Mytilus edulis: one gene and its partner. The protein of the gene in region 1 interacts with the protein of each later gene in a pairwise test. Links are inferred from orthologs where the notes say so. Each region holds a gene or a part of one and is shown in the gene's direction. Other genes may lie near its edges.

The links.
Region 2: the proteins of NEDD4-like E3 ubiquitin-protein ligase WWP1 (region 1) and ubiquitin-conjugating enzyme E2 L3-like interact in binary tests that used the Caenorhabditis elegans proteins (3 or more experiments, as listed by UniProt). The link is inferred for Mytilus edulis from reciprocal best matches to the Caenorhabditis elegans genes wwp-1 and ubc-18.

The regions. Positions count from the first base shown.
Region 1 is NC_092348.1:11,608,078-11,615,183, forward strand, and holds the start of NEDD4-like E3 ubiquitin-protein ligase WWP1, read left to right. Parts: upstream 1-4,013; 5' UTR 4,014-4,100; intron 4,101-6,885; 5' UTR 6,886-6,909; coding exon 6,910-6,970; intron 6,971-7,106. Other genes in the region: RNA-binding protein NOB1-like, read right to left, coding at 3,716-3,784. UniProt on the Caenorhabditis elegans protein: E3 ubiquitin-protein ligase which accepts ubiquitin from an E2 ubiquitin-conjugating enzyme in the form of a thioester and then directly transfers the ubiquitin to targeted substrates. Ubiquitinates klf-1.
Region 2 is NC_092349.1:14,319,111-14,326,247, forward strand, and holds the start of ubiquitin-conjugating enzyme E2 L3-like, read left to right. Parts: upstream 1-4,071; 5' UTR 4,072-4,174; coding exon 4,175-4,201; intron 4,202-5,518; coding exon 5,519-5,614; intron 5,615-6,613; coding exon 6,614-6,800; intron 6,801-7,137. Other genes in the region: BTB/POZ domain-containing protein 6-like, read right to left, coding at 1,816-1,843. UniProt on the Caenorhabditis elegans protein: Ubiquitin-conjugating enzyme E2. Accepts ubiquitin from the E1 complex and catalyzes its covalent attachment to other proteins. Required for diet restriction-mediated lifespan extension, probably acting as part of a complex with ubiquitin-protein ligase wwp-1.

The DNA.
Region 1 (7,106 bases):
AAAACTTACTTGTAAATATGAAATTCTCTTTACGGTACGAGTTTTTCTCATTGTTTGAGATTGTACAGTAGTACCTGTAACTGCTTATACCTATTTCTTATTCACTTTTGCTTGATAAACTCACTAAATATCATATACAGTGTACCACATCTCCTTATTTTTATATGCATTCCAATAACATGAACAATTGTAATTCAATTCTATATACCAAAGCAAAATGAACTGCACCACTTTCATTCACTAGTATGCATCTTTTGGCAAAATACAAGTTCTTAGATGACACAATTAATATAATATATATTTATTGATAAAAAAATAAAATTTAGTATACAACTCTTTAACAGGTATAAAAAAAAGCACAGCTGTGTCATAAATTGTGAAATCTGTGCTGAAAACATAGACATTGATGGTATTTGAGTAATTCCATATGTGAAGCTCAACATTAGCTCGTCAGTTGGTGGTGGACAGTTATAGTTCCTTTCTGCAGGCTAGGATGAATGACTTTTCAGAAAAACCAATTTCACAAATCAAAACTTTCCTCTAGATTTCTCCTACAATATTCATCCAGTTTAGTTCTTTTGTTTTAATTGGACACCGTCCTGATTTTAAATTTTGCAAACCATTCAGTCTCTTGCTTGCAAATGGTGCATAAAAATAGGATGGGTATGGCAGTAGACAAGTCTCTTTAAAGTGGGTTTGTGCCCTGAAAAAAAGTTTTATAACTTAAGTTTAATTGAAACTTGTGCAACACATATACCTAAATAACTATATATTAATATAACATAGAAGAGAGCATCATTCGTGTCAATGTTTTGTTCCTGTTTACATTGTCATTGATATTTTTTCAGAAAGCCTGAGGCATAGCTCATGAATTCCTGTCATTAGACATTACATCCTAAATTAACATAATTACTGCTAGAATAATTATCAGTATGATATACGTACACTATCATTGTACAGCCCAAGTCTTCAGTATATATATAATTGTTGCATTCATTCACTCCTGTGTTCAGTCGTTCAAAAATATTTAAACATCAACAAATGAACTTTAATAAGGACAAGAAATTTTAAAACACTAGAAAAGATACGTACATACAACCCGTGTTTAAGTGTATTTGAAAGAGAAATAAATCTGGTTAAACGATGTAAAAAGGAGAAATATATCTGGTTAAACGATGTATAAAGGAGGAAAAAATTGTAGATATTGCATTACGATGCGTTCTACCTAATAGCACGTGGATATGTTTACATATTTAGACTTGACCCAGTATGACCCGTACCTTGTAGGTCACCGCCGTCGTTTAAACACTTGACTACAGTCGTGTATAAGCTAGACAATAAAAAGCTTAAGCCTGTACTATTTGTGTGAAGTAAATGTGTTTGTTCTGAACATTTAAATTGTTTTACCTGATAGCAAGGACGTATATCTATCCGTTTCCTTCTCAATTCACTTTGTCAAATTCTTCGAGCTTCTTTAAAACATACGTATTACTGCGCCCGGAAGTGAAAAAAATATGAGAAATCCTCGTAAAATAATGCTATTTTCAATTTTGTGGAATCCATTTTGTTATATTAATTATACAAAGATAAAAAAAGTTACGATTAATTATGAATTTGCATATCATTATACGGAACGTTTATGGACTATTTTTTAAGTCGGTCATTTTGGCGGTAAATCATGTACACATACACACGTAGATTGGCTGGTACCCGATTGTAATGTTACACATCAAATATATCAAATAGCTAATACCCGGAACGTAGTACCGGGAACCAGGATAATACGTAGACAACATACATAACTAATACCGAAATTGAAAACGCTTTACGGTTTCTCGTTCATAAACCGAATTCCGCTTTGAATTATAGAAGGTGCAATATTAATCATGTTCAGTCGACTTTTCATTGTTATATCAACGTCTGAACTAATTAAAGAATCTTTAGATGTCAGATAACACTTGAAATTGACCCGACCTCTTTCCACACGGAATATACTAATAATGATAGTTTGTAGTCAGGTTGACTGCTTATAATGCAAAATACACACTAATAACAAGTTCTATAAAACGAACAATACACACTGATCGTTTCTTTAGTCCCCAATGTAAATGAAAGAAACAAAAACCATATCATACCATAAAAAGAAGAGGAGAAATTCGAACATTTCCGGATCTATTTCTGGCCAAAAGACCCCCAGCATAGATTGCGTATGAAAAGATGAACCTCATGACTTAAAAGTCAGGCCTTAAAGCACTGCCTTTAAAAATTACCTAATGAGAGCGTTTCTTTGTTTACATTGCATATGACATCATAACTTAAACAACGTCACAACTAAAATCCCTAACATCAGAACCAAAATCGGAAACGTTACGGTATTTCCGTTTTGAAATTAAAATATGTTTGAATAAAAAAAAAATCATAGACTTCGTCCCCTTTCACATGTAATGCCTGCCTCATTTACGGTAGAAAAATCAATAAAAAAAAAAGAATCGTGAAAATTTCCCGAATTTTTCAATATACTATAGAACTCAGGACTATAGGATTGGAACTCAATACCAATTCATTTTTAACCCTTTCAATGCTACACAAAAAAATAGACAATGGCTGCTGCTGCTGCATTTTTTTTTGTGTTCATTCATTAGAACAGTATATTCCTTTTCAGACTGCTGTATCTTTTTTATTATAAAAGATAAAGAGAAAGTTATAGCATGAAAAATGCTCAGGAGAGTATGAACTGTAATATTAGGCAGTTATTTCAGTAAAATTATTATCAGGTTACCTGCATTTTCAGGTAATTAACAGGTAATAGGTGTAATTTATTACATTTATGTTGAATTTTGAATCAAAACTACTTTTAGTCTTCATCTATTTTGTTGTTTTATCTGCCATATAATAAAGACGACACCAATTGCTCGATTCCGTAGCGTATTGCACCATACACAACATATTATGTAATCGTGGCACAAATCAGTGGCTTCGTCCTCAAAATTTTCAGTCAACCTCCGTTTTCCCCCCTTTTTCTTCGTCTCGTAATGATCGATCAAATCATATTTCATATAATGTCATCGCGGCATATGCTGTGTATAGCGTTGAAAGGGTTAATTAATTTATATAAAAAAAAGTTACCTGATGAAAGTGTTTCTTCGTTTACATTGAATAAGACGTCATAACTAAATAACATCACAACTAAATCCCTAACAATTAGTGTCATGTGTACTATTGTTTTTCTGTTTGTCTTTTTTATTTTTAGCCATGGCGTTGTCAGTTTGTTATAAATTTATGAGTTTGACTATCCCTTTGGTATCTTTCATCCCTGTTTTTTTAACAACAGAACCAAAATTGGAAACGTTACGGTATTTCCGTTTCTTTTAAAAACATGTTTGAATTAAAAAAAAATCATACAGACTTCGTCCTCATTTACAGGTAATGCCTCATATTACCTGATATGATATGTATGACTAGGAGTATGCCCATATGGCATGACAACCATACACTTGTGATCCAAATACTAATATTGTCCAGTATATTAAACAGTACTATAAGGCTTGAGAAGACTTTAACCGTCATAGGTAAGGCTATATATACTATAGTACAACTTTTAGTCAGGGGGTATAAGAAAAGGCACTTCACTAGTACTTTAACATACATGTGTGAAGTTGAAAAAAACAAACATCCTGGTAGATATCAATAAATGGTAATTGTGTATTGTTTGTACCTGTAATGGGGCATTTCGTATGAAAGCCCCAGCATCGGCTATCACATGCTTTACACTTTTTTGTGACATTTCTCATTTGCTGTCCACATGAGATTCAATGTCAAAAGGCAACTATTCTGATAGAGATTATTTGTCTTACTTTAAAGCGTTTATATGATTTTATTTTTTTTACAAAATATCTTAATTGAAAAAAATTAGAAAATGGTATTTATTGCAAAAATCATTTATTTTAAAGCACAGAAATTAGGAAAAAGTATAGAATATTTTGTAAAGATTGTAAAAACATATATGAATATAACAACTTTCGACGTCATTGATCACATGACCAATAAGAAATGGTGGACATCAAACTGTTTTGACAGTGCTCGTTCGTAACCAAATACAGGTCAATATTGTCAAAATGCGCATTGCAGGGATGCCCCAATACAAATTCTCACACATATCAAAAAGTTGTGTTTTAAAAATATATCAAATATTTCAGTTGAAAAAAAGAAAACATAGCAAATCGTCAAAGTTGTCACAGCAAACTTAACAACATCCTGCTTTACACACGACTTAAATATTTTATGTAAAATGTTGTCCTAAAAGTATTATCTGTTAATCATTGGACATGCACCATATGATCCTTTATTATCATGACTATTGAATAAATTGAGTTAAAACTATTCAGTATAGACTGTTTTCATGGTTTTGAAAGCTCTTTTTATTACATCATGTGACATAGTCGCATATTTCACAAGAATTATAATTACATATAGGTAAGATAGATTAAAAGACATTCTAATTTTGAAAAATCATGATTACAAAGGTATAGTTGTACAGTTTAAAATTTAAAATCTAAAGATTGCTTACATCGTTATCTATCAGCATGATCAGTAACATGTCTTTTGAAGGAAAAATAATGTTTTCCTGTAAATTATTATATTATGCATCACAACAAAATAATTTATATGGCACATCTTAAGAGTAAGTTGTGCAAATGTCATTAGGTTCAGTGATGTAAAATCAAAGAACAATCAAATCAGATATTGGTTATTTTTCATTCAACTTGCAAGACTCATTATTTTTTGTGTGGAAATATGCAAGCACATTTGGGCGAGCACATTTTTCAATGTTCCTGTAGCCTTAAATAAAAGGTTGGAGACAACCCGCCAAATGGGGAACAAATCAAATGAGTGACAACCCCTCATTTGAGAGTACTCATGTTACTGAAAGCTAGTTCAAAGTCCAAATACATTGTACATACATGTATCTACTAATGAAAATATAATATATCTTAGACTAAATACAGGGAAAATATCAACCAGTGTACATCCAACATCAAATAGATTTGGTGTTGAATGAGTTTCCTTTTACAATAAGTTTATTTAAAAGTATGGATAAGTATAAGGGATTGTATTTAGATTTACACAAATTAAACATCAGGGAAAACCTCACCATGAAAATTAGAATGTGCTTTGAACATGTTGAATGTGGAAAGAACTAGACAGATGTTAATGGTGGAGACAACAAATATCATACATGTACATGCATATAATATATATGGACCTTAAATACCTTTCTTTCATTGTCTTTTACTTGTACATGTAGTCAGCATTGTTGTCCCATTGATATTTTATACTCTCAATAGCTACATCTATTAATCATATTTTGATAATTAGTAAATAATATGGGGATGAAGTCCCCTATTACAGTTCTAGTAGAAAATTCAATAAAAAAAAATAAAAAAAAATCGGGAAAATTTCCCAAATTTTTTATTGTACGAATGAACTCAAAATCGTTCAATTTTATTTTTGTCACATTTTGAAATTCCAGATCTGCGCAGAAATCTACTTCTGTTTCCGGTCTTGTTTACAAGAGACTTTGAATAAAATGTATATTTATAATTTATCAGTCTAACATGTCTAAGAAAGGAACTAATACTAATTCATTTAAAAAAAAAATTATTGTTATTAAAATAACGTTACCTGATGACAGCGTTTCTTTGTTTACATTGAATATGACGTCACAACTAACAACAGAACCAAAATCGGAAACGTTATGGTATTTCCGTTTCTCTTTTTAACATTGTTGATTCAAAAGAAAAATCATAAACTTCGTCTCCATTCAGAGGTATTGCCTGCCTCATATTACATTCAAGAATATTTTGAATTATGGTTTTACCATGTTTACAATGTTTTAAGGACAATATTTTCATGATCTTGGAAAAGAAACAATATTTATTGATGAGGAAAAGTTGATTACATATTGACCTATAATGGTTTACTTTTATAAATTGTTATTTGGATGGAGAGTTGTCTCATTGGCACTCACACCACATCTTTCTTTATCTATGATATAAATAGACCACTTTCAAGTTTGTCTGTCACTGGAAAAAAACTCATCAATTATGCATGTCTTTATGACATGATTTACCAGATAGAGGGGATTGCCTGTATCCCTGCACTATTAGTGATCATCATTGTGCAGGATAAACTAGAAATATTGTTTGTTGGGTAGGTATTTAATCACAATTCCCTAATGACAGCAGTGCTGATTGTAAATTATCAAATCCAATTTGCCGAATAATTCGTGCAAGATAGACATGATAGAATCATAGTTTTCCAACCAATTGCTCAACATGGGAACTGAAGTGACAAGGCCCCTTAAAGCACACATGATGTTTTTGACAGAAATGCATCGAACTTGAAAGTTGTCTGTTGCATTGTCATACATGTTATAAGACTCCAATCTTTGGCCAGATGTATTGGAGTTTACAATTAACCAGAACAAATTGCATGTATGTTCCAAAAAATATTTTCATAGGAAACCATTTATATTATTAAAACACACAAACTACATTTATTTAAGTATAATGCATAAAAATCAAATGAATAGGGCCTGCATGTATCTATATACAGACAGCATAGTAAAACTGACAAATCTTAAGTGACCCGAAAAAGGCTGAAATCGAAAATCAGCTGTGTTCATGTTTACAAAAATTTACTTGTACAGTGCAATAAAAAACTAACAACTTTACCCTGTTTCTTGACATTCATGATTGAAAATTGGTAATACTTTTCTCTATAACATGTATAACTTGGTTGCCCATGAATATCATATGCTGACCTTCTGCATCTACAAATGAAAGTCTCTTGATCATATTTTTAAAATTATGAATTGTATTACAGGTGTACATGTGAGACTTCCAAATAATGGGAGAAGCAGCCTCTGCAGCACAAGGAAATGCTCAATTCTCACAGTTACAAGTAACTGGTAAATATTTTATACTATGTATTTTTGCCTGACCCTATATACATTATATATCTGTCAAAATATACAATGGTCAAATGAGTAGATACAAAATTTACATTGTGATTTAGTTAAAAATCATTCTCATGGTGACTTTTGA
Region 2 (7,137 bases), on another chromosome or scaffold:
AAGGAAATCCAATAATAGTCTGAGAGAAAAAAAAGTATGGGATCGCCAACACTGCATGCTCAAAAAAGGAAGACATTTTGGTGTAGCTTCGATAGAAAAATGCATATATAGCTTCGACTGATTCCTGGTCCAGGGTTCGGCAATTCTGTTCTTTAAGATGTCAAAATATTTAATTTTAATCCTTTATATGTATACACCATCATCAGAAAAAACCTACGAATTTCACACTGAAAACCATTCACCATATTTCCTAGTTTATTTGATAGTTTCCTATCACACCAGTTTCAATGCCTTTTGATACATATTCAACATGTATTACAGAGCAAACATAATCAGTTTACACTTGAATTTGTAAGAGCATAACATATTACTGACCTTGCAGAACACGGATTTGTAACTTTTTTTTCATCTAATTATTATTATCTTTCAATTTTCTTACTATTTTTATTTACTAGTTTCATTTACTATTTATTTATCTAGATTATTGTGGAAAGGGGGCCCGGGGGACGATGTCAAAACAAAAATATATTTTACCCTCAATAAAAAAAGACGGAAAATCAATCAATATACTTGTCATAAAAATCTATAAAAACTTATTTACTTGTTCAATGAAAGTATATAAAGACTATTAGCATGATACAAATATCAATAAATCGACCAAAAATTAGATTAAAAAACCCTTTACTTTATAAAATGATATCTTTATCAGCAAACAAACAAGACGCAAGCCAATAGACATGACGACAACTGTCATATCTATATCTATATAATACATATTCTTAGACCAATACGATTATTTGAAAAAAATTAAAAAATGCAGGTCGGTTTAACTTTGAGTCTTCTTAATACTATGTTTAATCCCTTTTCTCTACAGAGGGTGGTAGAGGGTTATTTTCGTGCAACGTGTTTTGCCATTTTTATTTCACGTTCAGTCGTGAAAAAGGTTTGTTATTCACCGTGTTTCGTGAAATCGGGAAAAAGATCAACGTGTAAGAAATTTTTAATTGTTCGTTCATCGTGAAATGGCAATTTTATTTCGCGTTCTTCCGTGCAGATACACCCCTTTACACCCCTCTCTACAGATTTTCATTGTTTGTTACTTTTTGTATTATTTTTAAAACAACTAGTTTAACCCAGACACATATAAATATCTGGATGGGGAGTCTCATTAATCTATATTCTTTCATTGTGTAGAACATATTTCTCTATTCTTCTTTTGACGTTTTGTTTATTATTATCTGTTCTGTTCTTGATATTTACGTACACAAAGGTTCTCTATTCTTTATTAGTTTGGCATTTTTTTTTTTCAATTTATCTTTTTTTGCCCATTATCTGTACTCTTGGTACGTTATATTCTCTATTCTATAAACCCCGTATGCAGCCTAAGTTAGGGAGGGACCTCGTCAGGTCGTTTTTTGTATGCCGGTTTGAAGAATTTCATATTAATGGCATGCAGGTTTTTTTTTATCATGTTGATATTTGATTTATTCACATCTTTTATAATTTAAACGATTTAGACTAGGAGCTTGTCTTATTGTTTGGACATCTGTTTATTGTCGTATGTGTTGCATACTTGTTAGATGTTTTTGTTTTTTGTCGTTGCGGATAGCTGTTTCATTGACGCCGATACCTCCCCCTTTTATGTGCTTGACTGAAAATCGTGTAAAGTGTACACATGTGCTTTTCCTTTAATTTCTTTAGCATTTGTAGTTATTGATAGTGTATAATTCTAGGTTAAAAGCTAATGTTAATCTATCTTATAATCTAACTTATTCGGATTTTAAATTTTAAATTGGCCCCAAAGGGGGTCCTTACCTTCCTTTTTGGGGGATTCTGTTGCCATTATAAACTCCTAAGTCATGAGTTCTCAGTGTATTTATATGATAAAGTAACATGTTGCTCTAACATCGAGGTCAACTTTTTATACAAGGTAGATATTATAAATAGGCTTTTGAGTCCAGGATTTAATCCGCAAGAACAAAGATACTTCAATTGAACATTCTTTAAATGTCTTAAAGTATAAATCTTTCAATATTATTACCCTATTTTTCTATCAGTTGACATACAGTAGGTATTTATTTCTAATTTGAATTGAAATTGTCCTCATGTTTGATCAACTGCAATATACCAATTAGAAGAAAAATAGTTGATCGCGTTTCTTTAGCCTTTGTTTACTTTACAACCTTTTTCCAACAATTATCGATGTGTGGACATTTAAATATAGTTTGATCGGTACTAAGAGTGTGTTTATTGGGGGTCCTTCATTTTTGTTTTCATTTCCTCTATTTGTCATATTTAAGGAACTTTTATTCTCTTTTCCTTCTTTGTTTGCCAATTCTTTATTCTTTTATTGGGGGGGGGGGGGGGGGGGGGGGGCATTATTCTGCACTTTTTGTCCACTATCCGATATTGTATAAACCCCACACAGACCCTCTCTATTATTTTGATGGTTTAAATCGGTTAAGGACACCATTGTTTATTAATTATAGGTTAGACTATACTTGGTCATGTTTTATGAAGATTTAAGCCCAAGGCGAAGCCGAGGGCTTAAATCTTCATAAAACATGACCAAGTATTGTCTGACCAATTTAGAACATATTCACACCTACGAGTGACCTTTTAATCTTAGATGCATGATTTTTTTATTAGTTGTTAGTGGCTTTGAACTAGCTGTCAGATAACTACGAGTACTCTCAGATCTGTTCATTGTGTCTTTTGTGTTTGGATGTATAAGTACTCGGCCACGTCCACTTGTATTTTTGTCCATCTGATGAGTTAAGCCTTTTAAAAAAAACGGCACTTTTGCGCGCCCTGGAAAATATATTTGAGGAAGAAAAATAACGGCACTCATGCGTGCCCTGTTAAAGAATGATTTTTATAGTTCGTTCTTATGTTATAGTACCACTGTCTCAGGTTAGGGGAGGGTTGGGATCTCGCTAACATGTCCCCGCCACATTATTTATGTATGTGCCTGTCCCAAGTCAGGAGCCTGTAATTCAATGGTTGTCGTTTTTCTTTTTTCTCAAATGTATTTTACAGGGCGCACAGGAGTGCCGTTTTCTTTCTTTCTCAAATATATTTTCCAGGGTGCGCAAGAGTGCCGTTTTCTTTCTTTCTCAATATATTTAACAGGGCACGCATGAGTGCCGTTATTTTTCTTTCTCAAATATATTTTCCAGGGCGTGCAAAAGTGCCGGTTTTTTTTCTGTCTCAAATATATTTTCCAGGGCGCGCAAAAGAGCCGTTTTTCTTTCTTTCTCAAATATATTTAACAGGGCACGCATGAGTGCCGTTTTCTTTTTTTTATCAAATATATTTTACAGGGCACGCATGAGTGCCGTTTTTCTTTCTTTCTCAAATATATTTTACAGGGCGCGCATGAGTGAACATGAGTGCCGTTTTCTTTCTTTCTCTAATATATTTTACAGGGCGCGCATGAGTGAACATGAGTGCCGTTTTCTTTCTTTCTCAAATATATTTTACAGGGCGCGCATGAGTGAACATAAGTGCCGTTTTCTTTCTTTCTCAAATTTATTTTACATGGCGCGCATGAGTGAACATGAGTGCCGTTTACTTTCTTTCTCAAATATATTTTACAGAGCGCGCATGAGTGAACATATAATTTCAGTCGGTTGATTTTAAGAATTGTAATGAAATTATTTTCTTCTGAATTGTGTGCATGTTATGGGCTTTATGAGATTGGCAGTTAGATCATTCAGTCGGCACGACAGGGTCTACTCGATCGGTTGGTCATCGACTTTTTCCCCCGAGATATCAGTTTTCTTTACTTTTTCTTGTAATCAAATTTAGGAGTATAGATCTGAGGCGATACGTTAGGTACGTTAGTACAACATTTTTTTTGTCAAACAATAAAAGTGTGAACATATTTACATTAGATCAACATGGTTATAAACAAAGGTGCAATAATAGTATAATTAATACAGATATTTGACAGGAAGTACAAATTAGTAACATGATTAAGCACATGTATTAAAAGATTTTAATAACACTTTTGCAAAATTTTGCTATTCCAGTAAGTGTAAATAAATCTGATGTATTCCTCAATTCTTTAAATTTTAAAACATTTTTAAGTTATAACTTCAGTTGAGGAAAAAATATGGCGCGAAATATTACCTCCTCATGACGATTATTCAAGTCACGTGATCAATTCAATATGGCAGCGACCAGGCGGCTTCAGAAGGTAAACAATCCAAAAAACGCTGTAGTAATTCCTATATAAAAGTATATTAGTCAATAAATAGATATAATAAAACAAAGAAACATGGGTCATTCCATTTCGTTGAAACCCTGCCATGTTTTACTTACATTTATTCATAAAAACGAATTTACGAACTTGTGTCTGACTAACCCAGCAACAACAAAAATAAATTCCAGAAACGACAATCGATATATGTTTTTTGTACATTCAATAGAAACATCGTATCTGAAAAATATTTTTTTATATACAGTATTAATCCAATACAGTATATTGCTGTGTTTTTATTGTTTACTCAAATGGGAATAAGAATATTCCAGAAAATATTGTTCCTGGTTTTCCTTTTTTTTTTTAATGAAATTATGTATTAACTTCATGTAAAACGTACAGAAAAGAAGCAAACTTGAATGTTCTAGAGATTAAACATAATATAGACGAGACATTTTATAGACCAGCTTTTTTTGAAGAAAGTTTTTGTTAAAGATATATTGCACATTGTTGTGTAATAGACCTTATCAATATAGAAGAATCTGTGACCCTTGAACCGAGAATTTGTGACTGACTTATGAACTTTTGATGCGATTCAACGATCACACTTCCTTTGTGGCTTCAGAGATATCTAAATTTGAAGGCATTTTGTCGGTCAGAAATTAAGAGTTTGGGATACAGTGGACAAATAGGGTACAACCCCACTTTAATGAATCTGGGTCTGTTTGCCCAAAAATATGTTTGCGCCCATTATCATCCTACTTGTACTTCCGCAACCTACACATTCACACACATTTAATGTTTGGAACAACTTTTCTAAAACAGGGGTCCACTTGTTTCATGCAAGTTAATAATTCTGAAGATAATAAGCATGATAAGTCAAGGAATATTACAACATATTTGGACATGTTTTGACCATATAATACCTGATAGATGTATAGTTTATTGGGAAAAGTTGCATGTACAGTCATTGACAGTCTGCAGTTAAAGTTTTTAAAACATTTATTAGCTTCATAAGCCATCCTGGATTATTACCAAACTTGGACAAAAGCTTCTTACAATCAAAAGATACATTGTAGTATCTAGAAAGAAAAAATAAAAAATTCCCCATTTTTGTTGAGCCTGGGACTAACAGCAAAAGGAGGCAAGACACTGGGTTATGCAGAACCCTAATGTACACATTTTTTTCTAGTATATAAAGTAATCATATGTTCATGGTGTTTGGAAGTTAGTAATAACAAATTTACACATAGAATGCATGTTAAAAAAATTGTATTAAGAATAAGATTGAACTTTTGACTTTTTCTTTTGCAGGAATTGGGAGATTTAAGAAAGGCTGATTTAAAAACGTTTAGAAATATTATTGTAGATGAATCGAATATACTGAAATGGGAAGGATTAATAGTTCCAGTAAGTGTCAGCAATATTAACATGATTTAACATTTTACTTCACATACACATTGTGCCAATTGTTAACAAACATCAACTCAAGTTTCAATGCAATTCAAACACTTGTCCTGACAAAAAATTATAAAAATTCCCATGATGTCTGAAATATTACATATTAGATAGTGTAGACGTAATTTTGTGTACATTTTCATGTATTTACACTAGATTATACACCTAGCACTTAGCTAAAGTAGAGATTCAACTTAAAAGAAACTCAAGACCAGTGGTCTTAGACCACCAACCTTTCTATATTTTCAAACCATAAAACCTATATTGTTTCCAGTATTTTACAGCAAAATTTGAAAAGTATCTAATGAAATTCTTGCATGACAAGATGAAATGAAATGCTGCAGTACTAAAGTAAAAAAATATTATTACTCATGCTCATATTCCCAGGGCCACTTGGCTACCAGATCATATATCAGTTTAACCGTAAGAAATCAGATTAACCAGTCTTTTCCCTACAAGTTTCATTTAGCATCCTGGTATACAGCAAATTATGAAATACATTTGTACCATCTGTATGTAAAATGTAGCTTGTTTCTAGAAATTATAGCATCACACCTATTACACTATCATTACAAAAAGGGAATCATTTTGTAGCATTTTATTACCATTATGCTAAAATTTAAAGGCCGTGGGGAAAGCACTGTTAACTATTGGATTGTTTTCCTTAGATTTAAATTACTTTCCAACTTTTTTTGTTGTTGTCTGAAATACATGTAGTTCTAGAAGAAATTCATCAGGAATAATGGACATGTGTTTTAGTGTTATCATCATTGTCAGTCCCCCTACCTACACGTATAATAAATCTGATGTTTGGAAATTACATGTAGATAAGATTCATTAGGTCACAATAATGAAAAAAATAACTATCAGAAGATACTCAAATTTATTTTAGATACAATGGCTATTTTGTTTGATTGTATATTTACGATGTTTTGTTTTGTAATATTTCAGGATCAGGTTCCGTTCAATAAAGGGGCGTTTAAAGTAGAGATTAACTTTCCTGCAGAGTATCCATTCAAACCACCAAAAGTAACGTTCAAAACAAAAATATACCACCCTAATATTGATGAGAAGGGTCAGGTGTGTCTACCTATCATTAGCCCAGAACACTGGAAACCAGCTACAAAAACAGATCAAGGTAAGGGTGCATAGATAGGAATTATGCAATCAATCTGTGAATGAAGAATGTTCGCACTCTCAAAAAATAAAAAGCTTGTTCTAAATTGATAGTATGTAAATAAAGGATTTAAAAAAGCAGAAAAGAATGGAGGGTCCATAAAACAGGGGGGAATAGGACCTTTATTCAGACTCCAAAATCGGGTGTTTTTAATCTCAGGATTTCGGGATTGATCCTTTTGTGATCCGGGAATTCTTTTTTCGAATTTCGGGACCTCCGGTTGTCGTGTTTTTATTCTTGGATTTCGGGATCAGGACCCCTCCTACCTCCTCTCATATAAGCCATTAAAATTTTGCAA